Linked DNA regions of Stegostoma tigrinum. The protein of the gene in region 2 interacts with the protein of the main gene of each other region in a pairwise test. Links are inferred from orthologs where the notes say so. Each region holds a gene or a part of one and is shown on either strand. Other genes may lie near its edges. The genes, in order: cul3b, klhl2, tma16 and txndc12.

What was found.
Region 1: the proteins of klhl2 (region 2) and cul3b interact in binary tests that used the Homo sapiens proteins (3 or more experiments, as listed by UniProt). The two-hybrid records come from large-scale screens. The link is inferred for Stegostoma tigrinum from reciprocal best matches to the Homo sapiens genes KLHL2 and CUL3.
Region 3: the proteins of klhl2 (region 2) and tma16 interact in binary tests that used the Homo sapiens proteins (3 or more experiments, as listed by UniProt). The two-hybrid records come from large-scale screens. The link is inferred for Stegostoma tigrinum from reciprocal best matches to the Homo sapiens genes KLHL2 and TMA16.
Region 4: the proteins of klhl2 (region 2) and txndc12 interact in binary tests that used the Homo sapiens proteins (3 or more experiments, as listed by UniProt). The two-hybrid records come from large-scale screens. The link is inferred for Stegostoma tigrinum from reciprocal best matches to the Homo sapiens genes KLHL2 and TXNDC12.

The regions. Positions count from the first base shown.
Region 1 is NC_081367.1:24,434,292-24,441,969, reverse strand, and holds the start of cul3b (cullin-3b), read left to right. Parts: upstream 1-4,668; 5' UTR 4,669-4,938; coding exon 4,939-5,001; intron 5,002-7,678. UniProt on the Homo sapiens protein: Core component of multiple cullin-RING-based BCR (BTB-CUL3-RBX1) E3 ubiquitin-protein ligase complexes which mediate the ubiquitination and subsequent proteasomal degradation of target proteins.
Region 2 is NC_081354.1:56,995,464-57,003,328, forward strand, and holds the start of klhl2 (kelch-like protein 2), read left to right. Parts: upstream 1-4,857; 5' UTR 4,858-5,021; coding exon 5,022-5,092; intron 5,093-7,865. UniProt on the Homo sapiens protein: Substrate-specific adapter of a BCR (BTB-CUL3-RBX1) E3 ubiquitin ligase complex that mediates the ubiquitination of target proteins, such as NPTXR, WNK1, WNK3 and WNK4, leading most often to their proteasomal degradation.
Region 3 is NC_081354.1:44,928,167-44,935,670, forward strand, and holds the start of tma16 (translation machinery-associated protein 16), read left to right. Parts: upstream 1-4,488; 5' UTR 4,489-4,589; coding exon of another isoform or gene 4,590-4,592; intron 4,593-7,504. UniProt on the Homo sapiens protein: Involved in the biogenesis of the 60S ribosomal subunit in the nucleus.
Region 4 is NC_081361.1:64,051,321-64,058,317, reverse strand, and holds the start of txndc12 (thioredoxin domain-containing protein 12), read left to right. Parts: upstream 1-3,989; 5' UTR 3,990-4,045; coding exon 4,046-4,133; intron 4,134-6,802; coding exon 6,803-6,863; intron 6,864-6,997. UniProt on the Homo sapiens protein: Protein-disulfide reductase of the endoplasmic reticulum that promotes disulfide bond formation in client proteins through its thiol-disulfide oxidase activity.

The DNA.
Region 1 (7,678 bases), on a different chromosome or scaffold from region 2:
GGATTGAAAGATAATCTGTTCCATCACATGAAAAACCATGGCAGCAACTCCCAAATTCAACAATTTGAGGGATGATAACAACAGCAGCAGCAGCATCTCGGCTGATTGACAGTTGTGTCTCACTGGGTGATTGACAGTGGCTGGTACCCCAGATGGTTGACAGCTTCTGGGTGGTTGACTGCTCTAGAAATGTTTAAAATCTCTCTGACTGATCAAAATTTCCCATTAATAACAGCTCCATGCATGACTGACAACTTCTTGGGTGATTGGCAACTCTTAGGAAGATTGATGCTCTCAATGAGACTGCCAGCTCCCTGAATTATTGACATGATTGTCTGCACACTGTCTGATTGACAGCTGTATGAATGGTTGCCAGGTCTCATGGAGATCGACAGCCCTCCTTGTGATGGACAGCTTCTGGGTTACTGACTGCTGTCGGCATGTTCGGCAACTTTTGGTTTGATTGACAGCTTCCTGAGTAGTGATAGCACTAGTGATTGACAGATCTCTGCATGATTAGTTTGACAACTCCCCAGATAATTGACAGCTGCTGGGTCATTAACAGCATCCTAGCTGATTGACAATTTCCCAGGTGACTGACAGCTCACAGGAAAATTAACAGCTCACCATAGTTATGACAACTCCTCAGCAGTTGGCAACACTCAGGATAACTGACAGCTTTAGTTGTCGTTGACAGTTGTCGGGGTAACTAACAGTTTCCTTTTTAATGATCCATTTCAAGGTAATTGACATCTCGTGAGCTAATTTACAGCTTATCAGTTGATTGACAGTCCTCTGGGTGATTGAAAGAGAGGGTAAATCAGCATTCAGTTTTCTACACAAATGCTCTTTCCTGGTTTCAAACCGGGATTCATTTGCATGTAAAGTGAATGTGATACCCACTATGCTACAGAAACAGGACACTGTTGGATGATTGGCTGCACTCAAGGATTTTTACAGCACTTGATGTGATATTGGCATTTCCCCAGGGGAATGATGCTCAGGATTGATTACACCCAAAATGGAATGTGTGAGTGATGTTTTTATTCATTCATGGGATGTCGGTGATGTCCACTGGGCTATCATTTATTGCCCATCTCTATTTGCCCTTGAGAAGGGTGGTGAGCTGCCTCCTTAAACTTCTGCAACTTATTTGGTGGGGTCAAACCACAATACCCTAAGGGAGAAAGTTCCAGGGCTTCCACTTGGTGACACTGAACGTACAATTATATGTTCCCAAGTTAGAATTGTGAATGCTTTTGGAGGGAAGCTTGCAGGAGCTGGTGTTCCTGTGCACTTGTCGCCTTGTCCTTCTGTATGGAAGTTGGCATGGGTTTGAAGCTGCTCTCAAGGGAGCCTTGGTAAATTTCTGTGGTGCATCTTGTAAACAGTTCATACTGCTTGCTGCTACTGTGCATCAGTGGTAGACAGGGTTAATGTTTGTGAATGTGGTGCCAATCAAGCAAGCCACTTTGTTCTGGATAGTGTTAAGCTTCTTGAGTGTTGTTGGAGCTGCACTCATGCATGCAAGCGGAGAGTATTCCAGCACACCCAGGAATTGTGGATTGTAGATGGCAGGCAGGCTTTGGGGAATCAAGAGTTGAGTTATTGTTGCAGGATTCCTAGCTGCTTACCTGCTTGTGTAGTCACATTATTTGTGTGGAGTGTCCAGTTCATTTTCTGGTCAATGTTAATCCCCAAGATTTTTAGAATGGAGAGATAAATGACAGTAATGCTATTGAATTTCATGAAGCAATGGTAAGATCCTCTCTTATTGGAAATGGTCATTGCCTGGCAGTTACTTGCCACATTTTAGTCCAAACCTAGATATTGTCCAGGATTTGCTGCATTTAGATGTCAATTGCTTCAGTATTCGAGGAGTTGCAAATAGTGCCCGAAGATTGTTCAACTATCAGTAAACATTCCACTTTGACCTTATGACAGAGAGAAGGTCATTGATGAAGCAGCTGAAATTGATTCAGCCTAGGACATTCCCCTGAAGAATACCTGCAGAGATATCCTGGAACTGAGTTGACTGACCTCCAACATCCCAAACATTGTCCTTTGGTACAGATATTACTTGAACCCGCAAAGAGATTCCCCTCACAATTGTGATTTCTACTGACTACAGATTTGATGGAGCTCCTTGATGTGAAACTTGGTAAAATTGCAGACTTGACATCAAGGGTAATCACTCTCGCGTCATCTCTAGAATTTAGCTGTTTTGTCCACATTTGAACTAATGCTATAATAAGGTAAGGAACTGAGTGGTCCTAGCAGAGCCCAAACTGATGATCAGTGAAAAAAAAACAAAGAACTGTGGATGCTGGAAATCAGAAACAAAAACAAGTAATTGCTGGAAAAACTCAGCAGGACTGGCAATGTATGTGGAGCAAATGTAGAATTTTAACATTTCAGATCCAATGACCCTTCTTCAGAACTGACTGTACAGGATCTATGGAGAGGGGGTGGGGGAAGGGGGTTGGAGTAAGGGATAGGCAGAGGTGGAGACCAGAGAGAGAGAAAAACAGTTGTGCAGACAAAAACATGGGTACAGGTCAACCTAGGAGAATTAGCAGCTGCTAATGGGGACTCTTAGTGGCTGACAATGGTTTGTTTTTGGCAGCAGCCCATGTAATAACAAGGTCTGGTGTGTGGGGTTGGAAATAAGGTCAAGGGGAAGGTGCTCAAGCCCCAAAATTGTTGAATTCGGTATCGAGTCCATAGGCTGTAGGGTTCCAAAGTGGAAAATAAGGTGCTGTTCTTACAGCTTGTGTTGAGCTTCTGTGGAGCTCTGCAGCAAACCCGAGACAGAGATGTTAGCGACAAAACATAGTGGTGTGTGGAAGTGGCAGACAACCGAAAGCTCACTAAACCAAAAAACCAAAAGAACGGCAGATGCTAGAAATCAGAAACAAAAACAGAAATTGCTGGAAAATCTCAGCAGATCTGGCAGCATCTGTGGAGAGAAGTCAGAGTTAGTGAGAGCTCAGAGTCATTTCTGCAGACAGATCCCCTCCTTCCACCCCATAATCAGCATATGTAACAACTCCCTCCCAGCTACAATAAGTTCTGAAGAAGTGTGGCTGGTCCCAAAATATTCATTCTGCCATACCTGCTGAGTTTTCCAGAAATTTGTTTTTGTTCATGAGCGTCAGTGAGCAGGCTATTGACAGGTTTTACAGTGATTAACAGTTTCTGGATTGTTGGCTGCTCTCTACATGATTGATACTCCTTGTGTTAATTCAGCTCCCTGGGTAATTGACAACTTTCAACACAACTGACTACCCCCATTGAACTATTGCCAGCTCCTAGGTCATTTAATCCTCCCAAGTGATTGACGGACTTTGAAGTGATTGACAGCTCATGGGGCAACTAACAGCTCCCATGAAGACTTTCAGGTCACAGGGTGGTTGACAGCTTTTGGAGTGATTACCAGCTTCCTGGTTAATTATAGAGTCCCAGATAACTGATAGCTCTTGAGGTAATTCACAGCACCCTTGTTGACTAAAAGCCTTCTGGATGATTAACAACTCCTCAGGTTACTGGCAGCTTTCAGGGATATTGACAGCTCTTGACGTGATTCACTGTTTCAAAGGTGAATACGACATAACTTATGATCGACTGTAGCCTAGATAACTGAGATCTTTGCCAATGATCGACAGTTCCCAGGATGATTATTAGCTCCTAGTTGGTTGACAACTCCCTAGAGGATCTACAACACACCGGATTGTGGGCGATTGACAAATTTCTGGGAGATTAACAGCTCTTAGGAAGATTGGCAGCTTGTGGGGCGAATTTACAGTTCGCGTTTAACGGTTGGCTAGGTTTTTCACAGTTCCTAGTGGGTTGACAGGATTGCAGCAGTGTGAAACTATTCGAGTCTTTGATCACTGCATTAATCACATTGCCAGCTCCCTGGGTAAATGACAAGTCCAAGAGTGATTGACAGTTCCTGAATGATTCATGGCTCACAGGGTGAATGACAGCCCCTGGGTAACTGACAGTTCCTAGAGTGAGTGATGTTCCCAGCTTCTGGTGATTGACTGCTCCCTGGGTAGTTGGCAGCTCACAGAATGGTTGGCAGCTCACAATGTGATTGAAAGCATGTGGACTGATTGACAGTTCCTTGGGTGGTTGACAACTCTGTGAATTACTGACAGCTCTGGGTTTGATTGAAAACTCCAGGTGATTGACAAATCCTGGGTAACTGATAGGCCAAGGGCGATTTACAGCTGCCGAGTGATTGACAGTTCCAGGGATGATTGATGGCTGCCGAATGATTGACAGGTCCCAGATTGATTGACAGATACAAGTTGATTGACAGCTCCATAGCAATTTATAGCTCCCAGGTTGCTTGACAGTGACAGGTTGACTAACAGCTGCAGAGTGATTGACAGTTCCCCAGGTTGATATACAGTGACAGGTTCATTCACAGCTGCAGTGATTGAGAATTCTCGGATTGATTCACAGCTGCAGTGATTGACCAGTTCTCAGGTCGATTCACAGCTGCAGGTTGATTGACAGTTCCCAGGTTGATTGACAGCTGCAGATTGATTGACAGTTCCTAGGTTGATTGACAGAGCCTGACGCGTCACTGCTGCGGACGTCAGTCTCGTGTTCTCCCTGCGAGTACAGGGCCGAGCTCTCGCGATATCGGACTGTCGACTGACCTGCGCACTGAAGGTTTCGGCCGCCATAGAGCCGGGCTGGTATTTTCCAACAGATTTTTTTTGATATTAAAAATTGTTTCATGGTCGAAGGTCCTGCTGCCTCTCACTTGAAGGGGGTCAGATCAACCCGAATCACTGGCCGTGGATCCCGTCTAATCGAGAGGTTTAATTGTAGCTCGGTCTTTTATCGGAACTTCCACTCCCCCTTTTCTTTTTCTCTCCTCCCCTGTAAGTGAGTCCTATGTGAAAGAAATCATCCGCCAACATGTCAAACCTGGGCAAAGCTGGGACGAAGAAAGACACCAAGATGAGGATACGAGCGTTTCCCGTAAGTAATGACCCCGTAGCCGCAATTTAACAGAACAAATGAAAGGAAATGCGCCGCACGGGGACAGAGAGGCTGCGAATGCTTCAAATCGAGGGCCCGGGCTTCTACGGATGTCAACACAGGAGCAGGCCCCTTATCGTTTGATTAATATTCATGGTGCTCCGTGAAGGCCAAACAGAGAGGCTGTTTTAATCCTTGGCTGTTTGTTGTGATGACCTCCCCCATTCAGGAACACAAAGCGCTGTGTTATGTTGTCATTTTTTAATTCACTTCCTCCATCTTTCTCTCGCCATCAGCCCCCTCCCCAAAAAAATCTGTAGAATATTATTGGTTCTGACATATTGAAACACTAGGTAATAAGTTGTAAGGTGCGGCTTACGTTTTCTGAAATAGTTTCACAACTTCGGATATTTTTAGCTTTCTTTTGAAAGTGATGGAATGGTAGTGTGGAATGTTAAGTATTTACTGTGTTTTCAGTCAAGTTGAAACACTCTTTAGGTGGTCTGTGACATGGACTGGTTCACTACTGAATACTTAGATTTGTGGTCACAATAACTTGGGTTATGCTCTGAAAACTTAATTGGTAAGAGCTTTGTGACTGGACTGGTACACCAACGCCTGGTGGAATATTTGGTTCTCTATCTTTTGCAATATGCATAAGTTGAAAGGTGAGAAGAATGTCTCCTTCAGAATTGACCTTAGTGAGTTGAAAACCTTGAAAGAAATGCTCGAATCATTTCCAGCAGATTTGCTGTATATCATATGAAATACATATGTAGTAAGCTCAAATATATTTTTGCAACTACTGGTGAAAGTTTGAAACTGTTCAAACAGCACTTAACTGCTTGAAAATATTTTGCAAAGGATAACAGTATTAATAAATTTTTAAGCAGGGCAAACTAGATAGCAAGTGTTTTATCCCCTCCCCTCAAATGAATTTGAAATTGTGCGGTGATTGCCTTCTACCTGGAAGAATAACACATTCAACATGTGAAACAACTTCTGTATAAGCGGGACAAGGAGCACTTCCTATGTAGAAGTTACTGTTAAAGTTCATACACTGAGAGTTTCGTAGGCACAAGGTTACAGCATAACGTTTGTTCACAGTTTCAAGTTTACTAGCGGAACATGTTCAATTAAAATAATTTGTGCCAAGCGTTCGTCATACTGTTTTTTATGCAACTTCTGTAACATTTTGACACTGCTGATCTGTATATAATTCTGAAATTGGTATGTTACTTTATGGATGTTCTTTGTATGGTATATTTGCTGAAAGACATCAACTTTGTTAATTACTAAACAGAGTGGAATTAAACGGTACTAACCAATTTTGTACTTTCAAAAAATTCTCCTAAGCTAACTAAAGTTATTTTTTAAATGGTGTAAAGATCACTGACCGTAATTTGAAAAATTAAAAGGATAGAATTATGTGGTGTATTGCCAATGTAAATTACTTTAATTCTATTACTTCTGTCATGTGCTCAGGAGTAACTGTAGAGCAAAGCCAAGATTGCTGTTTAGCTGATATGTTTGTGAAAATGGACATTAGAGATATTGAACAGGGGCCTACTCACTAAGTTCTGTACTTCTACCAGCAGGTGCTTCCCATAGGAACCCTTTGCAGTGTAGTTCAAGATGTCCAAAAACTAATTCAGCTGTGTTTAATCAAAGCACAACTGAAAGATTGGATTGTAAAATGAAAAGCTGAAGTGCAAAAACTATATTTTTTTTTAGTTTTGGTTTGGCTTATGATATCTTCCATATATAAAAACAGAATACCTGCACCCACATTGTTCATTTTCTGGTCAGTTGAGGATCATTAGTTAGCATACTCATGGCTTCTCCCAGTGTTGTGGGGTAACAGTAGGTATTTACTGCTGCCTGCATTGCCCATTTCCTACAGCAGTGATTTGAGATCCTCTATGAATTGGTGATCATTACTTGCTCATTACCACTTTGAGTTCTGAGTTACCATCTGTTGTACTATCAGGATATCTTTTTAAAAACAAAAATTCAGTTTCAGTATCATAAATGTTTCAGAAGTAAATGAGATCATGCTGTATTGGTGTTTATATTGAAATGACTAAACAATGTTAGTTACTACAATTAATTATATAGTTATTGTTTTACTGATTCAGCTGCCTTCTCTAACTATACTACTATTGTACTGTATCATTTGCAAAATCACATTCATCGAATTTAATGCCAACTAGAAATAAAGGCCCCCTGCAGAAAATTTACATCTTCGTAATGGAACAGTTGTTGGTCAGTTTTAGAATCAGTTTGCACATGATTGTCATTTTAATGTAGAATATGCATTTTAATGGTGTGAAAAAAGACACTTTGAAATACATTGTTTGGCTACGTTGATCCATTTGTAAAAATAGCTTTAAAGTGAAATTCAGACAATTGTATTTGCAGCATTGCCAAGACCACTCAGTTAGTGCTAGAGGTTTTTGATTTAAATGGGGTGTAGCATGAATACTGAATTATTTACAACATGGTTAACCTGATTGGCAGTTACCTAAAATTACGAAGAGCATTTCAATTTTTTTCTATCAACACTGAACAGGATGATAGACACAATACGGGTGGGTAAAAAGGCTCATAATAGGGGAATGTAACATTGCTGAACAGAACTTGATGCATTCCGATCAGATTTCATTCTTGTAAGCAT
Region 2 (7,865 bases):
CATTAATGTGCGCAGCGTCAAGTCTACTGCAAGATGTGTGTCCACGTTGGCCTACCTGACCACTGTCAAGGCGGACCTACTGTTTCTGCAGGAGTGCGGGATACCGCACCTCAGCAGGTACGGGAAATGGTCCGGCGCCTGGACCTGTGGGCCTTCAATCTGGTCGGCGGGTAACGACTGTCGCTCCTCGGGCCTGGCTATTCTGCTGCGGGGGCGCAACTTCACCATCTCTCAAGTTCAGGAGGTGGTGGGGGGGGCGCCTCCTAGTGGCTGATGTAACCTACAGGAACGTTCCCCTCAGGCTGATCAACGTGTACGCCCCAGCGGTATGGAGTGAGCGGTTGGCCGTCCTGCAGCGGCTGCCACCCCTGCTGGCTACGTCCAGGACGGTCATCCTAGGCGGAGACTTCAACCGCATCATTGATGAAGATGGAAGATCCGGCGTGGGGACAGCGGGTGGGGGGAGTCAACTGGACGTCATGTCCAGATTCCTGATGGGCATGGTGAAGGACGCCAAGCTGCTCAACGTCTTCAGCACCCCTGCAGATGGAGCGCAGCGGAGATGCACCTGGTCACGGCCAGACGGCTCTATCCGCTCAAGGATAGACTTCCTGTTTGTGTCGCGGGCGTTCTCGGTCAGGTCCACCGGCGTCGAGCTGGTGTTCTTCTCCGACCACTGCCTCCTGCTGGCCGACTGTCACTTACAGGACGACCAGCAGGCCGGCAAGAGGACGTGGAAGCTCAACACGACTCTGTTGACCCCAGAGAACGGCGAGGAGCTTAAGAGGGAGCACGCCGGTTGGAGAACCGTGAAACCCCTCTTTGAGCCTCCGGGCGACTGGTGGGAGACGGTGAAGGAGAACATCAAGAGGTTCTTTGTCCTCAAGGGTGTTTGGAAGGTGAGAAAGGCGGGGAAAGCTGTCGCGACTCCAGAAAAGGGTGCAGAACCTGCTCCTTCTGCAGTTGATGAGGGTCGATGTCACGGAGGACCTCCGCAAGGTGAGGGGCCAGCAAGCCTCGCTTTTTGCTGCGGAGGCCTCCAGGATAATCTTCCGGTCCAGGGTCCGCTCCGTGGAGCAGGACAAGATGTGCTCGCGTTTCTTCTTTCAGAAGGTGCACAAAGAGAGCTCTGTGCTTAGCCGGCTGAAGGAGGACGACGGCTCGGTGACGTCGTCTCGGCCCGACATTTTGAGGATCAGCAGATCCTTCTATGCCGGGCTGTACGACACGAAGCCCACGGACAGCACGGCCTCTGAATCGTTCCTGTTGTCTGTCACGGAGGTCTTAGATGACGGCACGAGGGAGTGGCTGGACCGGCTGATATCCCTGGACGAGCTGACCAGAGCCCTCAAGTCCTTGGAGAGGAATAAGACTCCCGGGAGCGACGGCTTACCGGTCGAGCTGTATTCCGCTCTGTGGGACCTGGTCTGCCAGGACCTGTTGGAGGTGTATGATAGTGCGCTTCGGGCAGGGGAAATGTGCAAGTCCATGAGGAAGGACATCATCACCCACATTTACAAGAGGAAGGGGGACAGGGAAGAAATTAAGAATTGGTGTCCCATTTCACTATTGAACGTGGACTACAAAATCTTGGCCAAGGTCATAGCCAACCGGGCCAGGTCTGTCCTGGAGCCGGTGATTCACCCTGACCAAACCTGTGCTGTGCCGGGCAGGAAAATCGCTGAGAGCCTTGCGCTCATCAGGGATACAATCGCCTACGTGCAGGACAGGTGGGTGTACACCTGCCTTGTCAGCCTGGACCAGGAGAAGGCCTTCGACAGGGTCTCTCATGCTTACGTGAGGGACGTCCTCTCCAAATTGGGGTTCGGGGCGGACATCCGCAATTGGATCCGGCTGCTCTACACCAACATCGTTAGCGCAGTCTCGATCAACGGGTGGGAATTGGACAGTTCTACTGTCAGATCTGGAGTCAGGCAGGGCTGCCCGCTGTCTCCGGCCTTGTTTGTGTGCTGTGTGGAGCCCTTTGCCGCATCCATCAGGAAGGCCGTGAGCCTGAAGGGCGTGACTATCCCAGGCAGCGGAGGCCTTCAGGTCAAGACCTCCCTGTACATGGACGATGTCGCCGTCTTCTGCACTGATCGTTGGTCGGCGAGTAGGCTGTTGGACATCTACGGCCAGTTTGAACTGGCCTCGGGTGCCAAAGTCAATAGGGGTAAGAGCGAGGTCATGTTCTTTGGGAACTGGGACGACCGCTCCTTCATCCCCTTCACCGTCAGGACAGACTACCTGAAGGTGCTGGTGTTTGGTTCGGTGGAGCTGGGGCGTGCACTAAGACTTGGGAGGAGTGTATCACCAAACTGAAGCAGAAGCTGGGCAGGTGGACGATCCGGTCCCTCTCCATTGCGGGTAAGAACCTGGTTGTCAGGTGCGAGGAGCTTTCGGTATTGTTGTATGTGGCGCAGGCCTGGCCTATTCCCTGGACCTGCGCCGCTGCGGTCACCCGGGCCATCTTCCACTTCATTTGGGGGTCAAGGATAGACCGGGTCCGCAGCGACACCATGTACAAAGACCTGGAAAATGGAGGAAAGGGCGTACCGAACGCCACCCTCGCCCTGATGCCTACCTTTGTGTGCGCCTGCATCAAGCTGTGCATAGATCCTCAGTACGCAAACACCAAGTGTCACTACTTACTGAGGTTCTACCTGCCCCTGGTGTTGCGAAGGATGGGCCTGGCCTCGTTGCCGCGCAACGCTCCGAGTAGTTGGACTGTCCCGTACCAGCTGTCCTTCATGGAGAAATTTTTGAAGGGAAACACTTTTGACCACAAGGCCGTCAAGCAGTGGTCAGCACATAGTATCCTCGAGACCCTTCGGGAAAAGGAGAGGGTGGATCCCATCATGTGGTTCCCCACGCAGACTGCCAAAGTCGTTTGGCAGAATGCCTCATCGCCAGAACTTTCAAACAAGTACAAGGACATTGCTTGGCTGGCGGTGAGAGGGGCTCTGCCAGTGAGATCCTTTATGCATGCCCGGAATCTCTGCACCACCGCACGCTGCCCTCGAGGTGGGGGGGACGAGACTCTCGATCACCTCCTTGTAGAGTGTGCCTATGCACAGGAGGTCTGGAGGGGGATGCAGTGGTATTTGTCGAGGTTCGTCCTGAGCAGCTCCGTGACGCGGGACTCCGTGCTCTACGGGCTGTTTCCTGGGACGCACAACGAGACCAACATCAACTGTGCCTGGAGGACCATCAATGCGGTGAAAGTCGCTCTTTGGTCTGCCTGCAACTTGCTGGTCTGCCAGCTGAAAGAACTGACCCCGACCGAGTGTTGCAGACGGGCGCACTCCAAGGTCCAGGACTACGTGCTGAGGGACGCGGTAAAGCTTGGGGCAGCTGCTGCCAAGGCACGGTGGGGAAAGACCACCGTCTGAAACCCCTTGTCCAGAATAGGAAAAAGGGCCCTATCTGGTAACTGGGCCCAGCTGGCACCTTCTCCAACTGGTCACGGGGCCAACGGGGACTGTGCGGGGAGACGACTGCCGGAGTATTTTCTTCGCTTTGTTTTTTTTTCTTGTTTGCTTGTTTTTTTTCCCCTTTAGTTGGTGTACGTAGCCCCTGGGTAACCTGGAGCGGCTTGCATGACTGGGCAGGTGTATAAATGTTTTTTTTTGTACATTCTATGAATAAAGTATATTTTTTCAAATAAAAAAAAGTGATGAAACGTCTGAAAACTAACCTTCCAGCTCAGCGAGCAAACTCACATCCACAATAAAGCTGCAGATTCTGAAGCTGTCAGCTGAATTTCTCATTGCTTTTTACCTGCCTCAATGTCATTTTCCCAGAAAAAATAATGCATTCTTTCCACATACTGGTCTCAGTCTTTGACAGCAGGATCGACAAGTCAAACTTTCCACATAATGCCATGATGCCAGAAATGCATATCCCAAATCAAAGATGAATGTTGTGAACAAATTTCTTCAGGTGCACTTCTTTTTCTCTTGTTGCCACTGAAATAACTTCACAGAGGCCAGTGTCCCGTCACCAAGTCACTCTTCATTCACACGTGGAGAGTACTTGACACTCAGAACTAGACCTCAGAATGAACAGGACGTCTGACACTCCTGGTTATATTTTTCAGCCAGGGCTCCCTGATTGGACCAGATTAACAGCCCCAATCAGGGAACTCATATTCTATGAGAACTATCTTAATGACCTCCTTATATTCACTAAAAAGATCACAATGCCTCAGACAAGGTTGGGACGCAGCACCTTCATGGTAACTTTAGCCCTTATCTGTGAAACCCCAATGGCCCTAGAAGCCTCTAAGATATTGATACTTCTTCAGTATACTTCTTCTAATAGCACTATAGAAATGCAAGTTATTGTTGTCAACAGAATCAATAAAATAGTTGCTACGGAAACAGTGTCGGCGTACAGCAACAACCCAGTGACGAAAAAAGTGCTTTGGGCGAAACCTTATGCTGCACAAATTGAATACAATGCCGAGCGGTTTTGGTTTCACTTTAGATGTGCAATTGCTGTATGCATTTTTAAAAAGAAAATCTGGCAGAATCACGTAATTTCAGTACAGAAATCCTGCAGTTTGTTCTAAAGTACATGGTTTTAAATATGAAGCGCAGTTCAGCATTCACTGCCAAAGGTAACCTGGAGGCAGGCTCTGGATACAATGCCATACAGTCCTCTACAATTCCCATATTAGGGCTGCTTCTTCCAGGTCCTCCAACCCAGAGGGAGCTCCTGGTACGGCAATACCTGGAGAATATCACTTTTGACAGTCGAAGCGGAATAAAAAAAGTTGGAATTGGGAGGCAACTGGAAGCTTTCGGGGAGTGGGGGAGGGTGGAAGGAGGAGGTGAGGAGAGGAGCATTGTGGGGTATTGGAGGAGGAGATGGTTTGCAGGCGCCGCCTCCCTGGTTTCCCCTAAGGGTCAGGCTGAGACAGTCGGAGCAGCGGCTGCCTCAGTGACCGCCCGGGCAACAGCACAGACAATGGAACGCGCGCGGAGCACGGGGAAGCATCCCACGCGCCTCTGAGTGGAATGGTGCAGCGCGCCGAGCTCACTCAGCGCAGTCGGCAACAGGCGGAGGACACAATGGAGATACAGCAAATGTGAGTCTGTTAGCTCCAATCACAGCCAGGGGCAGGGCAGGGCTGGGGGAAACTCCGGCCAGGAGGGACAACCCGGCTTAGGGCGGGGGCGGGGGCGGGGGTGGGGAGAGGGAGGGTCTGGGTCATGCTTGGAGCCTCCCCGCTCACATTTGTGGAGAAGCGACTTTACAAATGCCAGGAGAACTGAAGTGGGGTCGAGGGAAGCACAAGCTGGAGTTTTTGATAGCAAATAGCAATGCGGTTGTTTCAGCATTTTAGCAATGCCGCAATTTAACTCTATGCAAAAGGGTAGAAATAAGTGAAAATTGGGAAGTGTCAAAGAGTTATAAGTCTGTTGGTGTTATAATTTAGTTTTTTTTTTGGGGGGGGCGTTGGTCAGAGATTTGAGCACCTGCCCATGATGTCCGGTAGCTGTTTCTGTAGTGAATATTCTGATGCATATATAGTTGCACTTTTTTTTTGGTTGAAAGATGTATTAAATGTAGGAAATTGTGTTGAGCTATGTTTTATTTCAGGGGGGACGAGCTGTAAAATTGTTTCACGAGTACAATAAAGAACGAACACTCAAGAAAATGTATATTTTTGGAGAAGATCAGTGCACCTCTTACAGTAGCAACTGTGTAAATGACAGTTATGTATTGTGGCATTGATACTAAAATTTCACTGTTTAGTGTGTTAAATTTTAATGCTTCTGCATTCAGAGCATCCATTCTCAATTTCAGTATGGCACAATGGTGGGCATATGCTTTAGTTGTACTATTGATTTTGAATTGTAAAGGGAAAGTAACACTGGAACAATATAACACCTGAACTAGTGGAAACAATTGAGGTGACGAATTAAGGGACAAGAAGCATATCTGTCTAATTCTGAAGCATGCGATCTTCCCTAATTCCTACTGTCAATGCTAGATTTGACATTGCAGTTTTTAATATTATCTTTGTAAACATATCTGTGTTACGTGTATTTTTTTAAATGCTGCCTATATTTTCCTTTCTTGGGTATGTGTTAAAGATAAATTTATAGATTATTTGTTTTATAGCCTGATTTTCTTTTCTTCCTGTCAACTGAACCAGATAATGGTACCATGACTGATTCTGTGGGTGAATGAACGATATTGTGTTGTATATCATTAATGCCTGCAGTGTGACTTCTAGATCTAGTTAACTAATCTTACAATTTGGGTATAATTCTACAGGTCATTTTTTAGTGATTTTTGGTTAGACAGAAGCAAAACTGCATAGGCTCGTTTTTCTTTCATTTCTGTGCATTGATCCTGGTTGTAGATGTATGTATATGCTGAGTGATGATTACTCCACTTGCATATTGCCACCATCCCTTGTTCCAATTGTTGGAACTCGAATGGATTGGGCCTCCGTAACCTGCCTCAAAGGTGTAAATTGGAGGCCTGTAACAAATACAAGTCTGAACATATTAATTTTGTGAGGGCAATTGCATGAAATATTCTGACAGAGGTATGTTGCGTTGAAGTCTGAAACAATTCTGCAAACACAGGAACTAAAACAGAAATTGCTGGAAAAGCTCGGCAGGTCTGGCAGCGCCTGTGAATTTCGGGTCCAGTGACCCTTCCTCCAGAACAATTCTGCGAAGCTTGTTTGGAAGAATGTATTTTATTTCAGTTTTTCTGGAGCAGTGAAATCAACCAGACATCCCCTGAACAAATAAAAGAAATGGATCCTGATCTGTAATTACCCTGGAAAGGCAGTGGTGTTAGCAGCCCTCGGTGTAGGGCCACCCAAGGTGCTTTTGGAAAGGAAGTGCCCTCCTCCCCTTCTCCTTCCCCCCCCCCCCCCATTAATCAAATTTTTGGGTTTAAGAATAAAAAGTGAGTACTAGGTTTTCGATCCAGCAACTGGACTGGATGATATAGTTTTGAATCGGGATGGGCGGGGGTGGTGGATCTAGCAGGGTGGTTGTGGTCCTATTTATCTGCTGCCCTTGCCCTTCTACCTGGGTTGAATTTATGTTTGGAAGGTGCTCTTAAAGGGGTCTGGGTGTTGTGCTGCTCTGCATTGATGGAACATGCTGCAGCCACTCTGCAATAATAGTAAAGAGGGTGACGGACTTCCAGAGGGTTGTGAATCTGTGAAATTCCCTGTCCAGTGAGGCAGTTGAGGCTACGTTGTTGCATGTTTTAAGGCAGGTGGAGCAGACTCAAGGGGCCAGATGACCTGTTTCTTGTGAAAGTTGAAAGTGGTGGATGGGCTGGATTGTGCCAAGGTTTTTGAGTTTTATGGATCTTCACCCATCCAGACAAATGGGGAGTATCGCGCCACACTCATGGCTGGTAGATGGTGGACGGTTTTTGAGAAAACGTGAGTGAGTTAGTTACCACAGAATTGAGTCACAGAATCTGTGCCCAGTTCAGTTTCTGGTCAACATTTGTGCCAGTAGTGGGGGATTCAGTGATGGTAATACCATAGAATGTCAAGTGGAGGTGGTCATTGATTAGAAAGATAGTGTGAAAGTTGCTGCAGCTTGTATGTTGTCTAGGCCTTGCTGCACATGGATAGAGATTACTTCAGGATTCGAGTTTTGTGAATGGCATCTATTGCGCTAAGTACAACTTAACGGAGATGATGGCCTACTGGTATTATCACCGGCCTGATAATTCAGAACCCAGGTAATATTCTGGGGACCTGAGTTCAGATCCTGCCACGGCAAACCATGAATTTGAATTCACTAAAAGATCTAGAATTAAGAGTCTAATTGTTGGAAAACCCCATTTGGTTCACTAATTCCTTTTTAGGGAAG
Region 3 (7,504 bases), about 12 Mb from region 2:
GCCTGCATCTTTGTAGGTTATGTGGAACAGTCCCTCTTTCACACCTACGCTGGCCCTAAACCCCACCTCTTCCTCCGTTACTTTGATGATTGTATCGGCGCTGCCTCATGCTCCCAAGAGGAGCTCGAACAGTTCGTCCACTTCACCAACACCTTCCACCCCAACCTCAAGTTCACCTGGACCATCTCCAACCCATCGCTCCCCTTCCTGGACCTTTCCGTCTCCATCTCAGACTACCACCTACAAACTGATGTCCATTTCAAGCCCATCGACTCCCACAGCTACCTGGAATACACCTCCTCCCACCCACCTTCCTGCAAAAATTCCATCCCCTATTCCCAATTCCTTCGCCTCCACTGCATCTGCTCCCAGGATGAGGCATTCCACTCCCGTACATCCCAAATGTCCTCATTCTTCAAGGATCGCAACATCCCCCCCACAGTGGTCGAGAACGCTCTCCACCGTGTCTCCCACATTTCTCGCACCTCATCCCTCACATCCCGCCCCCACAATAACCGCCAAAAGAGAATCCCCCTAGTCCTCACATACCACCTCACCAGCCTCTGGATACAACGCGTCATCCTCTGACACTTCCGCCATCTACAATTCGACCCCACCACTAAAGACATTTTTCCAACCCAACCCTTTTCTGCCTTCCGGAGAGACCACTCTGTCCGCGACTCCCTTGTCCGCTTCACACTCCCCTCTAACTCCATCACACCCGGCACTTTTCCCTGCAACTGCAGGACGTGCTACACCTGCCCCCACACCTCCTCCCTCATACCTATCCCAGGCCTCAAGATGACTTTCCACATCAAGCAGATGTTCACCTGCACATCCGGCAATGTGGTATACTGCATTCACAGTACCCGGTGTGGTATCATTGGGGAAACAAAACGGAGGCTTGAGGACCGTTTTGCAGAACACCTACGCTTGGTTCGCAATAAACAACTGCACCTCCCAGTCGCAAACCATTTCACTCCCCCTCCCATTCCTTAGACGACATTTCCATCGTGGGCCTCATGCGGTGCCATAATGATGCCACCCGTAGGTTGTATGAACAGCGACTCATATTCCGCTTGCGAACCCTGCAGCCCAATGGTATCAATGTAGATTTCACCACCTTCAAAATCTCCCCTCCGCCCACTGCATCCCAAAACCAGACCAGCTCGTCCCCGCCTGCCTGACCTGTTCTTCCTCTCACCTGTCCCCTCCTCTCACCTCAAGCTGCCCCTCCACTTCTTATCTACTAACTCATCCCGCCCCCTTGACCTGTCCCTCTTCACCGGACTGACCTACCCCCTCCTTACCTACCCACCCCAACCCGCCATACTCTCCTCTCCACCTATCTGCTCCTTTAACCATCTTCGGTCCGCCTCCCCCTCTCTCCCTATTTATTTCAGAATCCTCTCCCCATCCCCCTTTTCTGATGAAGGGTCTAGGCCTGAAACGTCAGCTTTTGTGCTCCTAAGATGCTGCTTGGCCTGCTGTGTTCATCCAGCTCCACACTGTGTTATCTCAGATTCTCCAGCATCCGCAGTTCCCAATATCTCTGGTATTTCAAATTAGATGCTTTCTATGTCTTTAGTTTTCCCACATCAGCAGATAAAAATCCAGTCCAATGTTTCTTCTTGATCCCACTGTCAACAATATGTCCATTTGTACCTTTTCCAGTCACACTTTCTAATTGTTTGCGCTCTAACCTCACAACCTCCCTCGCTCCCACTCACATACATTCTGAAATAGACAGAAATTCCATATCCTACTTTTACAAAGCCAGCTCTCCTACTGCCATTTGTCTTTTCTCATTGTTGAGGGTAATAACTTTAAATGCCTCATAATCACCTTTCTGTCTCACACTATCCTTCTATACTATATTGTTGCTTGGGTCCTGTTGGGATTCTTTGACCATTTCTTTCCCCAATAAATAGGAACCAGACATAAAAGAGTTTAAATGAAAGATAAGCAATTGTTTTGAAGAGTACAGATCCTCCTTCACCCCAGGGCAGAACAGCTTTCTCCTTTCCCATGTCCACAGAGCAGTCCCCGCAAATTCTCTGCTATCTCCACTTTCTCTCTCTCCTTTACCCCTTTCCACCTGTCCTACATCCACCCCTCATCTCTTTTGCCTCTTTTCCATTCCCCTAATATCCCTCTGCTCTTCCTTCTTTTTATACCTCTCCTCACCCTCGTCTTTTCACCCACTGATCTTCCAGTCCTTATCTCTTCCTCAACCACCCTTGTAGGCCTTCCCATTTCCCGATCCACGTTAAACTCTCTCCTCCCCTTCAGCTATCATCCTCTACCTAACTCCCCTTACCTGTCCAATCTAGCACATTCCCTCTTTGCACAGTGGATCAGTAGTTAGCATTGCAGCCTCACAGCGACAGGGACCCGGGTTCGATTTCACCATTGGGCAACTGTTTGTGCGGATTTTGCACATTCTCCCCGTGTATGCATGGATTTCCTCCAAGTGCTCTGATTTCCTCCCACAATGTAAGATTTGCAGGCTAGGTGGTCTGGCCATGCTAAATTGCCTTTAGTGTTCAGGGATGTGCAGATTAGGTGGGTTATGGTGGATGTGCAGATTAGGTGGGTTATGGTGGATGGGTCTTGGTGGGATGTTCCAAGGGTCGGTGTGGACTTGTTGGGCCAAAGGCCCTATTTCCACACCGTAGGGAGTCTATGATAATGATTATGATCGTTCCTCCTACCTACATGCCCTTGTCATTTCTCCACCTCTTCCTCCCTTACCCTCTTTCCTCCCCTTAAACTATTCCTTTATTCCCTCCCCTCATTATTCCTTACCAGCCTTTTCTTATCCTTGCCCTCTCTAATATTTCCTCCCTACATTCTTTTTCCTTCCTTTTCCTCACCCTGCCCCATCCCTCCTCCTCCTCCTTCCCCCATTTCCTTACCTTTCTTTACTCTCCTCCTCGCCATTTCTCTTCCTCTTGCAGTATCTCCTCATCCCATTCCTCATTGTCACAGTGCACCTTGATTCTCCATCCTCTCGCCTTCTCACCCTTCCCATGCTCCTTCCTTCTTTTGTGCCAAATCCTTCCTCACCCCCACTCCTTCCTTCCTCATCTTTCCATCCCCATTCCTTAGCTCCAGGTGACACTAAGATTGGTGGACTAGCAGATAGTGAAGAGGATGTCGGAGAATGCAGCGGAATATAGATAGCTTGGAGAGTTGGGCAGAGAAATGCCAGATTGAGTTCAATCCAGGTAAATGCGAGGTGATGCATTTTGGAAGATCCAAATCAAGACCAAACTAAACGGTAAATGGAAAAACCTTGGGGAAAATTGATGCACGAAGATATCTGGGTGTTCGGGTCCATTGTACTCTGAAGGTGGCAATGCAGATCAATCGAGTGGTCAAGAAGGCATACGGCATGCTTTCATTCATCGGACGGGGTATTGAGTACAAAAGTTGGCAGGTCATATTACAGTTGTACAGGACTTTGGCTCGACCACATTTGGAAATACTATGTGCAGTTCTGGTCGCCACATTACCAATAGGATGTGGATGCTTTGGAGAGGGTGCAGTGGAGGTGGTAGAGGCGGGCACGATAGCGTAATTTAAAATGTATCTAGACAGATACATAAATGGGGCAGGGTGCAGATGGATACAGATCCTTGGAAAAATAGGCAACAGGTTTAGGTAGTGGATCTGGATTGGTGCAGGCTTGGAGGGCCGAAATGCATGCTCCTGTGCTGAAATTTTCTTCATTCTTTGTTCTCCCTTCTACGTTCTTTCATAACCCCTTTCCTTTCTCTTACTCTCCTTAGCCTTCATCCCACTGCTTTGTCTTGCCATCTTTTTCTCTTCCTCTCCACTTTCTGCTGTCCCCTCCTTCCTTTCACCACTCTCTTCCTTACATTCATCCTCTCATTCCTCCCTCTCCCCTCCAATCCTTCCTTACATCGCCCTGTCCCTTCCCCCTCCCCACTTCCTTTCACTCTCTTCATCCTATCTCCCCACTTCCCATGAGATAGTAAGAACTGCCGATGCTGGAGTCAGATATAACAGTGTGGAGCTGGACGAACACAGCATGCCAGGCAGCAGAGGAGCAGGAAAGCTGACGTTTCGGGTCGAGACCCTTCTTCAGAAAACAGTATCAGAGATAATGGGAACTGCAGATGCTGGAGAATTCCAAGATAATAAAATGTGAGGCTGGATGAACACAGCAGGCCAAGCAGCATCTCAGGAGCACAACTCCTGAGATGCTGCTTGGCCTGCTGTGTTCATCCAGCCTCACATTTTATTATCTTCTTCAGAAAACGTCTGCTTTCGTGCTGTCAGGCCTGCCGTGCTCCTCCAGCTCCAGTGTTAACCCATTTTTTCCCGGTCTGCCACCTCACCTCATCCTCCCTGTCTTTAGCTACCCTTTTCTTCATTCCCCACCATAATATGCCCAGGCCCGCTTACCGGTACTTCAAGTTTCTTTACTCTCTCAATACTGCGCATGCGCCGGTGCCATTCCGGAACCCTCTAATCTGCTGTTGATATTGAACGGGTAGGGGGACGACGAGAAGGGAGTGCACTGAGTTCTTTCCGGTGGATGTAGCGTGAACGGCTTCAAAATGGTGAGTGCGTTTGTACGGCTGGTCGGCTATCTGTGTTCCTTTGAGGCGCCTCAAATTTCGTGCTGAGTTGAATTAACTTTCAACATTTCAGTTGACCTTCCTCCACCAGTACGTGCCAATCCTGACTGTGCGCTCCGTGGAAAAGATTTTCCCCATATTTTTACTGTTTTGGATCGTGATCCTTCCACCACTATAAATAGTTTTTCTTTCTACTATGCGCTGACTCCTCATGACTTTGAGTATAGTCTCGAGCTTTTAAACAGCAGAAAGACGTCTTTCGACCCATCTTGTCCGTGAAGATTGTTCTCAAATCAAACAGCACGGAAACAGACCCTTCGGTCCATTATGCTTTATGTAATCCTAATCTAAACTAGTTCCAAATGCGTTCTCCAGGCCCATATCCCTCCAAAGATTTCCTATTCATGTACGTATCCAAATGTTTTTTAAACGTTGTTATTGTACCCACATCCACCACTTAGGAAGTTCATTCCACACGTGAACTACCCTTTGTAAAAAAAAGCCCCTCAGGCCTTTTATTAAAATCTCTCCTTTCTCCTTGAAAATGTGCCTTCACGCTTTAAATCCTGACGTTAGGGGAAAACAAACTTGCTATTAGCCCTATCTACACTACCTAGAAGGTCACCTCTCAACTTCATACACTCCAGTGGGAAATGTCTCAGTTTATCCAGCCTTTCTTTACAACTCATACCTTCTATACCCAGCAACATCCTGGTAAATCTCTTCTAAACCCACTCCACCTTAATAATATCCTTCCTATAACTGGGCAACCTGAACTGGACACAGTACTCCAGAAAAGGCATCACCAATGAATGACCTGTATGACTTCCCAACTCCTATACTCTAAGGACTGAGCAATGAGGGCAAGTGTGTTAAATGCCTTTTTAACCATCCTGTCTATATGTGATGCAAACTTCAAATAATTATTTACCTGAACCCTTGGGTTACTCTGTTCTACAACTCAACCCCAAGGCCCTACCATTAATTGCATAAACCTAACCCTTGTTTGTTGTACCAAAATGCAGTACCTCGCATTTACCCAGATTGAAATTCATCTGCTATTTTGCAGCCTATTGCCCCATTTTGATCAAGGCCCCTTTGTAATCATAGCAAACATCCTTCACTGCACAATGCCACCATGTGGATTGATAAAAACCAAAAGGACTGGAGATAGTGTAGAGAGGTAGTAGGAACTGCAGATGTTGGAGAATCTGAGATAACAAGGTGTAGAGCTGGATGAACACAGCAGGCCAAGCAGCATCAGAGAAGCAAGAAAGCTGGCGTTTCAGGCTGAAAAATTTTTCTGAAGAAGGGTCTAGGCCCGAAACGCTGGCTTTCTTGCTTCTCTGATGCTGCTTGGCCTGCTGTGTTCATCCAGCTTCTACACTTTGTTATTGCAGATGCTGTAAATCAAAAACAAAAACAGAAGTTGCTGGAAATGCTCAGCAAGTCTGGCAGCATTTGTGAAGAGAAATCAGAGGTAACGTTTTGGGTCTGGTGACCCTCCGAGCTCCTCTTCTGTTCTGAGCAAGGGTCACCAGACCTGAACCGTTAACTCTGATTCCTCCTCACCGATTCCAGTTGACCTGCCGAGCTTTTCCAGCAACTTCTGTTTTTGACAGCAATGTTGGTGTCATCCGCAAACTTACTAACCATGCCTTCTCATCCAAATAATTCATATAAATAACAACTAAAAGAGGACCCAAATATATCAATCTCTGTTCTATTCCGATTTTCTAGTATTTGGCTTGTAAGCTTGTAATGCCTCAGTGATTCTAGTGTTCAGCTTAATAACTGAAACACTCTGAAGGTTCCTACCTCTGGCACTCATTTCAGGCAGTGAGTTTCAGATTTACACTGCCTTGTGTATGGAAAAAAAAATCTTTCTTAAAAACCTCTGTGATTCCTCGGCTCTTTATCTTAAAACTGTGGCTTTGGTCATTAACCCTGTGCAATGTTTCTGCTCATCTACCCTCAATTCTGTACTTCTCAATCAGATCCCACATCCCAGCCTCATCTGCTCCAAGAAAAACAACCCCACCCTATCTAGTCTCTTCATAGCTGATTCAGTTTAGTCCAAGCAACATCCTGGTGAATCTTAAGGGTAATCACATCCTCCTTATAGTCTGCCAACCAGAACTGCACACAGGATCAAAACCAGAAATTGCTGGAAAAGCTCAGCAAGTCTGGTAACATCTTGTGGAGAGAAATCAGAGATAACATTTCAATTCAAGTAACCCTTCCTCAGAACTGGTGGTAGCTAGGAAAATATCAGTTTGTATGCAGAGGATAGGGTTTGGGGAAGGGGATAAAGAATAAACAATGAGTGAGGATCGAGGCCAAAGTTGGACAGACAAAGGAATGGATAATGATCTGGCTAGAAGGTGAATGGAGACTGTTCGTGGTTCACAGTGGATTGTGTGTAATCGCCGACTATGTGTTAACAAGGTCGGATGTGTGGGGTTGCAGCAAGGAGTTGGGTGGTGTATTGGAATGGCAGACAATTGGAAGCTTAAGGTCTGAATTGCCTGCAGCATGTAGATGTTTTGCCAAGTGGTCACCCATCAAAGATTCATTTCCACAATGTAGATGATATCACATTGTGAGCATTGAATGAAGTAGACGAGATTGCGTGAAGGGGAATATGGGCCTGGTGGTGGCACCTTGCTGGAGCTGATGGAAATGGTGGCTAATGGATGTGAATGCTGGTGGGATGGTAGGAGAGGACAAGGGGGACCTTAATGCTGCTGCAGGAGGGAAGAGGGGGGTATGGGCCAAAATGTGAGAGATACGTTGGACCTGGCTGAGGGCCCTGTCAACAAAAGTGCTTAGGAATCCTTGGTTGAGGAAGAAGTTTGTCATTTCAGAAGCACCCTTGTTGTATTTGGCATCAT
Region 4 (6,997 bases), on a different chromosome or scaffold from region 2:
CTGATGTCCATTTCAAGCCCACCGACTCCCACAGCTACCTCCTCCCACCCACCCTCCTGCAAAAATTACATCCCCTATTCCCAATTCCTCCGCCTCCGCCGCATCTGCTCCCACAATAAGACATTCCACTCCCGCACATCCCAGATGTCCAAGTTCTTTAAGGACCGCAACTTTCCCCCCACGGTGATCGAGAACGCCCTTGACCGCGTCTCCCCCATTTCCCGCGACACATCCCTCACACCCCGCCCCCGCCACAACCGCCCCAAGAGGATCCCCCTCGTTCTCACACACCACCCTACCAACCTCCGGATACAACGCATTATCCTCCGACACTTCCGCCATTTACAATCCGACCCCACCACCCAAGACATTTTTCCATCCCCTCCCCTGTCTGCTTTCCGGAGAGACCACTCTCTCCGTGACTCCCTTGTTCGCTCCACACTGCCCTCCAACCCCACCACACCCGGCACCTTCCCCTGCAACCGCAGGAAATGCTACACTTGTCCCCACACCTCCTCCCTCACCCCCATCCCAGGCCTCAAGATGACATTCCACATTAAGCAGAGGTTCACCTGCACATCTGCCAATGTGGTATACTGCATCCACTGTACCCGGTGCGGCTTCCTCTACATTGGGGAAACCAAGCGGAGGCTTGGGGACCGCTTTGCAGAACACCTCCGCTCAGTTCGCAACAAACAACTGCACCTCCCAGTCGCAAACCATTTCCACTCCCCCTCCCATTCTCTTGATGACATGTCCATCATGGGCCTCCTGCACTGCCACAATGATGCCACCCGAAGGTTGCAGGAACAGCAACTCATATTCCGCCTGGGAACCCTGCAGCCATATGGTATCAATGTGGACTTCACCAGTTTCAAAATCTCCCCTTCCCCTACTGCATCCCTAAACCAGCCCAGTTCATCCCCTCCCCCCACTGCACCACACAACCAGCCCAGCTCTTCCCCCCCACCCACTGCATCCCAAAACCAGTCCAACCTGTCTCTGCCTCCCTAACCCGTTCTTCCTCTCACCCATCCCTTCCTCCCACCCCAAGCCGCACCCCCAGCTACTAATCTCATCCCACCTCCTTGACCTGTCCGTCTTCCCTGGACTGACCTATCCCCTCCCTACCTCCCCACCTACACCCTCTCCACCTATCTTCTTTACTCTCCATCTTCGGTCCGCCTCCCCCTCTCTCCCTATTTATTCCAGTTCCCTCCCCCCATCCCCCTCTCTGATGAAGGGTCTAGGCCCGAAACGTCAGCTTTTGTGCTCCTGAGATGCTGCTTGGCCTGCTGTGTTCGTCCAACGTATGAAATAGGAGTAGGCCACCTGCCCCCTTGAGCTTGATCTGCCATTCAATGAGCTTCAGGGTGATCTGATTCCTTTCCCATATTTTATAACCCGACAGTCACAATACCTTAATGGCAATTAAATCATTCTCATTTACTTCTATTTGTGCTTTCAAATTGTCAACTTTGATGTGAATCTGCATGTATTCAGACACAATGCCTTTAATTCTGCCTTTTTAATTTCATACAGTACTCTAAGGTTCTTGAGTAGATTTGTTGCTTGGGTTGTGGATGCTGTGGTTGGTTTGCCGACTGAGCTGTTTCGTTAGTTCGCACACATTTCATTACCCTGCTGGGTAACATCATCAGTGCAGCCTCCAATGAAGTGCTGTTGTGTTTTCCCACCTGGTATTTAAACTCTGGCGTCCGTTGGATTTGAATACCTCATTTCTGGTTTTCCTTTGCAGTGGTCCGTGAATATAGGGTCGAGTTCTATGTGTTTGTTGATGATCTTCTTGGTAGAGAACCAGGCCTCGAGGAATTCCCATGCTTGACTGTTTGGCCTGTCCTCGGATTCTGGTGTCAGATCTGATCTAATTTGTGGCCCTCTTAACTGTAAATTCTTGCTACTACTGCTATTTGTAGTTTAATGATAATAAAATGTGAGGCTGGATGAACACAGCAGGCCAAGCAGCATCTCAGGAGCACAAAAGCTGACGTTTCGGGCCTAGACCCTTCATCAGAGAGGGGGATGGGGGGAGGGAACTGGAATAAATAGGGAGAGAGGGGGAGGCGGACCGAAGATGGAGAGTAAAGAAGATAGGTGGAGAAGGTGTGGGTGGGGAGGTAGGGAGGGGATAGGTCAGTCCAGGGAAGACGGACAGGTCAATGGGAGAGAGATTCCCTGAGGTTGGTCCGGAGGGAGGAGGGTAACTTCTTCAGGTTAGGCATCCCTGGAAGAGGCTTCGCAGTGAGGTTAAAATAGTATCAGAGATAATGGGAACTGCAGATGCTGGAGATTCCAAGATAATAAAATGTGAGGCTGGATGAACACAGCAGGCCAAGCAGCATCTCAGGAGCACAAAAGCTGACGTTTCGGGCCTAGACCCTTCATCAGAGAGGGGGATGGGGGGAGGGAACTGGAATAAATAGGGAGAGAGGGGGAGGCGGACCAAAGATGGAGAGTAAAGAAGATAGGTGGAGAAGGTGTGGGTGGGGTGTTTTGTGTTATAGCTTCACACTTTGAGACTTCGTTTTTAAATTAGCCAGGTGCTGGTCCTGGTGAGTCTGCCTGCCCTCTTCTTTGTAGCAGAATTAATCTCCTGGTTTAATGGTAACAGTGAGTGAGGGATTTTCCTAGTTATGAGATTACAAATTGTGGCTGTTGATGGCCCACAGCATAGTTCTAATGTGTTTAGTTCTGAGTCACTAGAAATCTGTCCTATTGAGCATAATATGAGTTTTACACAATACAGTGTAATATATCCATAATGTGAACGTAGCCACTTTTGTTTCTAGCATGACTGTGGTCACTCCCACCATTATTGTCATTATGGACACCTGCAACAGGCAAGTTGGTGAAGATCAGGTTTCACATTACAGTTTTTAATGTCAGATAGGATGGGGAAAAATCTATATTGGTGAAGATGAGGTTAGGTAGTTTATTTCCTCCTGTTAGTTCCTCCACCACGTACCGCAGACCCAGTCTGTCTGTAATATTCTTCAGGACTCAGCCAGCTTGAGTAATGGTGCTGCCACCAAATCACCTTTAGCAATTGACTGAGAATATATTCTGTGCCATTGTCACTCTCAATGCTTCCTTTCAAGTGGCAATTAGTTTTCAGCATAAAGGAGTACTCATTCATTAGCAGAGGAGTGCTGAAGAAGGTGTGGGGTTAGTTGGTGGTAATCAGAAGGCTGTTTCCTTGCTCATGTTTGGTCTGATGTCAAGAGACTTCATGGGGTACAGAGTCAATCTTGAGGACTGCCAGAGGGCAACTCTTTCCATTGTTTTCACTTCTGGTGAGTCTGTTCTGTCAGTAGGACAGGATATATCCAGGCACGTTGACAGTGGCATCTGGAATATTGTCTATAAGGTATGATTCTGAGAGTACTTCAGGTGAAGATGCTGCTTCACTGCTGTGGGACAGCATTCCCAGTTTTGGCACATACCCCTGGACCTCAGTAAAGAGGATTTTGCAGGATTGACAACGCTGGTTTTTATGTTGTCATGTCCATGCCTAAGTAGTTGCTGGGTAGCCCATCCAGTCTCACGCTTTTGTTTAGACCTGGAGTGGGCCTTGCACGCACAATCTTCTGACTTGCTGAATCCCATACAGCGCGACCAGGTCTCTGGATCATCTTGATCTTAATTGTTCCACCATTGGTGGCTGTACTTTGGATATTTTACGTTAAAGTGACCGTGTAAAAACAAGTTGCTTATTTTAATATGTTGCTAAATATTACCATGCGGAGATTTGTGCATATCAAGTAAATATCTCACGAGCGAAGCACCTTCCGATAGAATTTATTAACTAATTCTTGTACAGTACATGTATATCTTGAGATGTTACCATTTGGACGATGCGTTGAACTGAAGGCTTGCATATCCGCAAAAGACTCCGCGGCACGATTCCGAACAGAATGGGTTACACGGCGTTCTGATGCGTCAGAAATAGTAAGAACTGCTAATGCGTCACTTCCTCTGAGCTTCTACTTTCCTTGAGTTACTGGCGAGAGGGTCAGAGCCGATAATGAAGCTGCAAAGGTACCTGTATCTCGTCCTCCTTAACATTCTTCTGATCTGCTTTCAAACATATGGGAGCGAAAGTCTTGGAAGAGGTGGGTTAGTTTATATTTGTTTTATTTAAACGATGGCTTTGATGTGGTTTAATTGAAAACCGTGGAAACGCAAAAAATCGTGTGTCTATGGCTAATCCGTTACCTCTGTCAATCTTTCTCGCATTTGATTAGTCATTCTGATCTAGAACTCAGAAATAATGGGAACTGCAGATGCTGGAGAATCCAAGATAATAAAATGTGAGGCTGGATGAACACAGCAGGCCAAGCAGCATCTCAGGAGCACAAAAGCTGACGTTTCGGGCCTAGACCCTTCATCAGAGAGGGGGATGGGGAGAGGGAACTGGAATAAATAGGGAGAGAGTGGGAGGCGGACCGAAGATGGAGAGGAGAGTATAGGTGGGGGGAGGTAGGGAGGGGGATAGGTCAGTCCAGGGGAAGACGGACAGGTTAAGGAGGTGGGATGAGGTTAGTAGGTAAGAAATGGACGTGCGGCTTGAGGTGGGAGGAAGGGATGGGTGAGAGGAAGAACAGGTTAGGGAGGCGCGGCTTGAGGTGGGAGGAAGGGATGGGTGAGAGGAAGAACAGGTTAGGGAGGCAGAGACAGGTTGGACTGGTTTTGGGATGTAGTGGAGGCAGGGCATGAGCTGGTCTGGTTGTGTGATGCAGTGGGGGTAGGGGACAAACTGGGCTGGCTTCGGGATGCGGTGGGGGAAGGGGAGATTTTGAAGCTGGTGAAGTCCACATTGATACCGTTGGGCTGCAGGGTTCCCAAGCAGAATGTGAGTTGCTGTTCCTGCAACCTTCGGGTGGCAGCATTGCGGCACTGCAGGAGGCCCATGATGGACATGTCATCTAAAGAATAGGAGGGGGAGTTAAAATGGTTTGCGACTGGGAGGTGCAGTTGTTTATTGCGAACCCAGCGGAGGTATTCTGCAAAGCAGTCCCCAAGCCTCTGCTTGGTTTCCCCAATGTAGAGGAAGCCACACCGGGTACAGTGGATACAGTGTACCACATTGGCAGATGTGCAGGTGAACCTCTGCTTAATGTGGAAAGTCATGTTGGGGCCTGGGATGGGGGTGAGGGAGGAGGTGTGTGGGCAAGTGTAGCACTTCCTGCGGTTGCAGGGGAAGGTGCCAGGTGTGTTGGGGTTGGAGGGCAGTGTGGAGCGAACAAGGGAGTGACGGAGAGAGTGGTCTCTCCGAAAGGCAGACAAGGATGGGGATGGAAAAATGTCTTGGGTGGTGGGGTCGGATTGTAGATGGCGGAAGTGTTGGAGGACGATGCGTTGTATCCGGAGGTTGGTGGGATGGTGTGCGAGAACGAGGGGGATCCTCTTTGGGTGGTTGTGGCGGGGGCGGGGTGTGAGGGATGTGTTGCGGGAAATGCGGGAGACGCGCTCAAGGGCATTCTCAACCACTGTGTGGGGGAAAGTTGTGGTCCTTGAATGCCTCATTCTGGGAGCAGATGTGGCAGAGGCGGAGGAATTGGGAATAGGGGATGGAATTTTTGCAGCAGGGTGGGTGGGAGGAGGTGTATTCTTGCCCCCACAACTCCTCCCTCACCCCCATCCCAGGCCCTAAGATGACTTTCCACATTAAGCAGAGGTTCACCTACACATCTGCCAATGTGGTATACTGTATCCATTGTACCCGGTGTGGCTGCCTCTACATTGGGGAAACCAAACAGAGGCTTGGGGACCGCTTTGCAGAACACCTCCGCTCGGTTCATAATAAACAACTGCACGTCCCAGTTGCGATCCCTCCCCCTTTTAACTCCCCCTCCCATTCTTTAGCTGACATGTCCATCATGGGCCTCCTGCAGTGCCACAATGATGCCACCCGAAGGTTGCAGGAACAGCAACTCATATTCCACTTGGGAACCCTGCAGCCCAATGGTATCAATGTGGACTTTACCAGCTGCAAAATCTCCCCTTCCCCCACTGCATCCCAAAGCCAGCCCAGTTTGTCCCCTCCCCCCACTGCATCACACAACCAGCCCAGCTCATCCCCTCCACCCACTGCATCCCAAAACCAGCCCAGCCTGTCTCTGACTCCCTAACCTGTTCTTCCTCTCACCCATCCCTTCCTCCCACCTCAAGCCGCACCTCCATCTCCTACCTACTAACGTCATCCCGCCTCCTTGACCTGTCCGTCTTCCCTGGACTGACCTATCCCCTCCCTACCTCCCCACCTATACTCTCCTGTCCACCTATCTTCTTTTCTCCATCTTCGGTCCGCCTCCCCCCCTCTCCCTATTTATTCCAGTTCCCTCTCCCCATCCCCCTCTCTGTTGAAGGGACAAGGCCCGAAACGTCAGGTTTTGTGCTCCTGAGATGCTGCTTGGGCTGCTGTGTTCTTCCAGCTCCACACTTTATTATCTCTGTTCTATAACTCCTCTATTTTTGTCATTTGGACCCAGTCGTTGACCGGAAATGGTGAAGACCTTGATAGGTAACAGGTCCAGCAGCAAATAGTTTACTTAATTTCCATTTTTGTCTTCTAGTGTCCCACACTCTAAAGAATTGCCAATGAAGAAAACAATCGTTACGCGCACGGTAGTGTGTATAATGAATACCAAACAAATTTAAATGATCCAATTCCATTGAATTGAGATATTAAAATAACATTGTATGAGGTTTTAGGTGTCGACGTTTGTCTCTAACAATTTGTCAGAGATGGAAATTCATAGGAATGGCAACCTTTTTTCAGGATTTGGAGACCACATTCACTGGAGAACACTGGATGATGGAAAAAAAGAAGCAGAAGCCAGGTATGCAAAGCTAAGTAGAAACTTCCTGTTCAACTTCTGACTTGGAATTTGTGATTTTAAACTTTGTATATTTAGTTGGCAATTGACTGGCTTCCTCCTGGAATATCAAAGAGCCAAATTTGTCAGTATGTCTT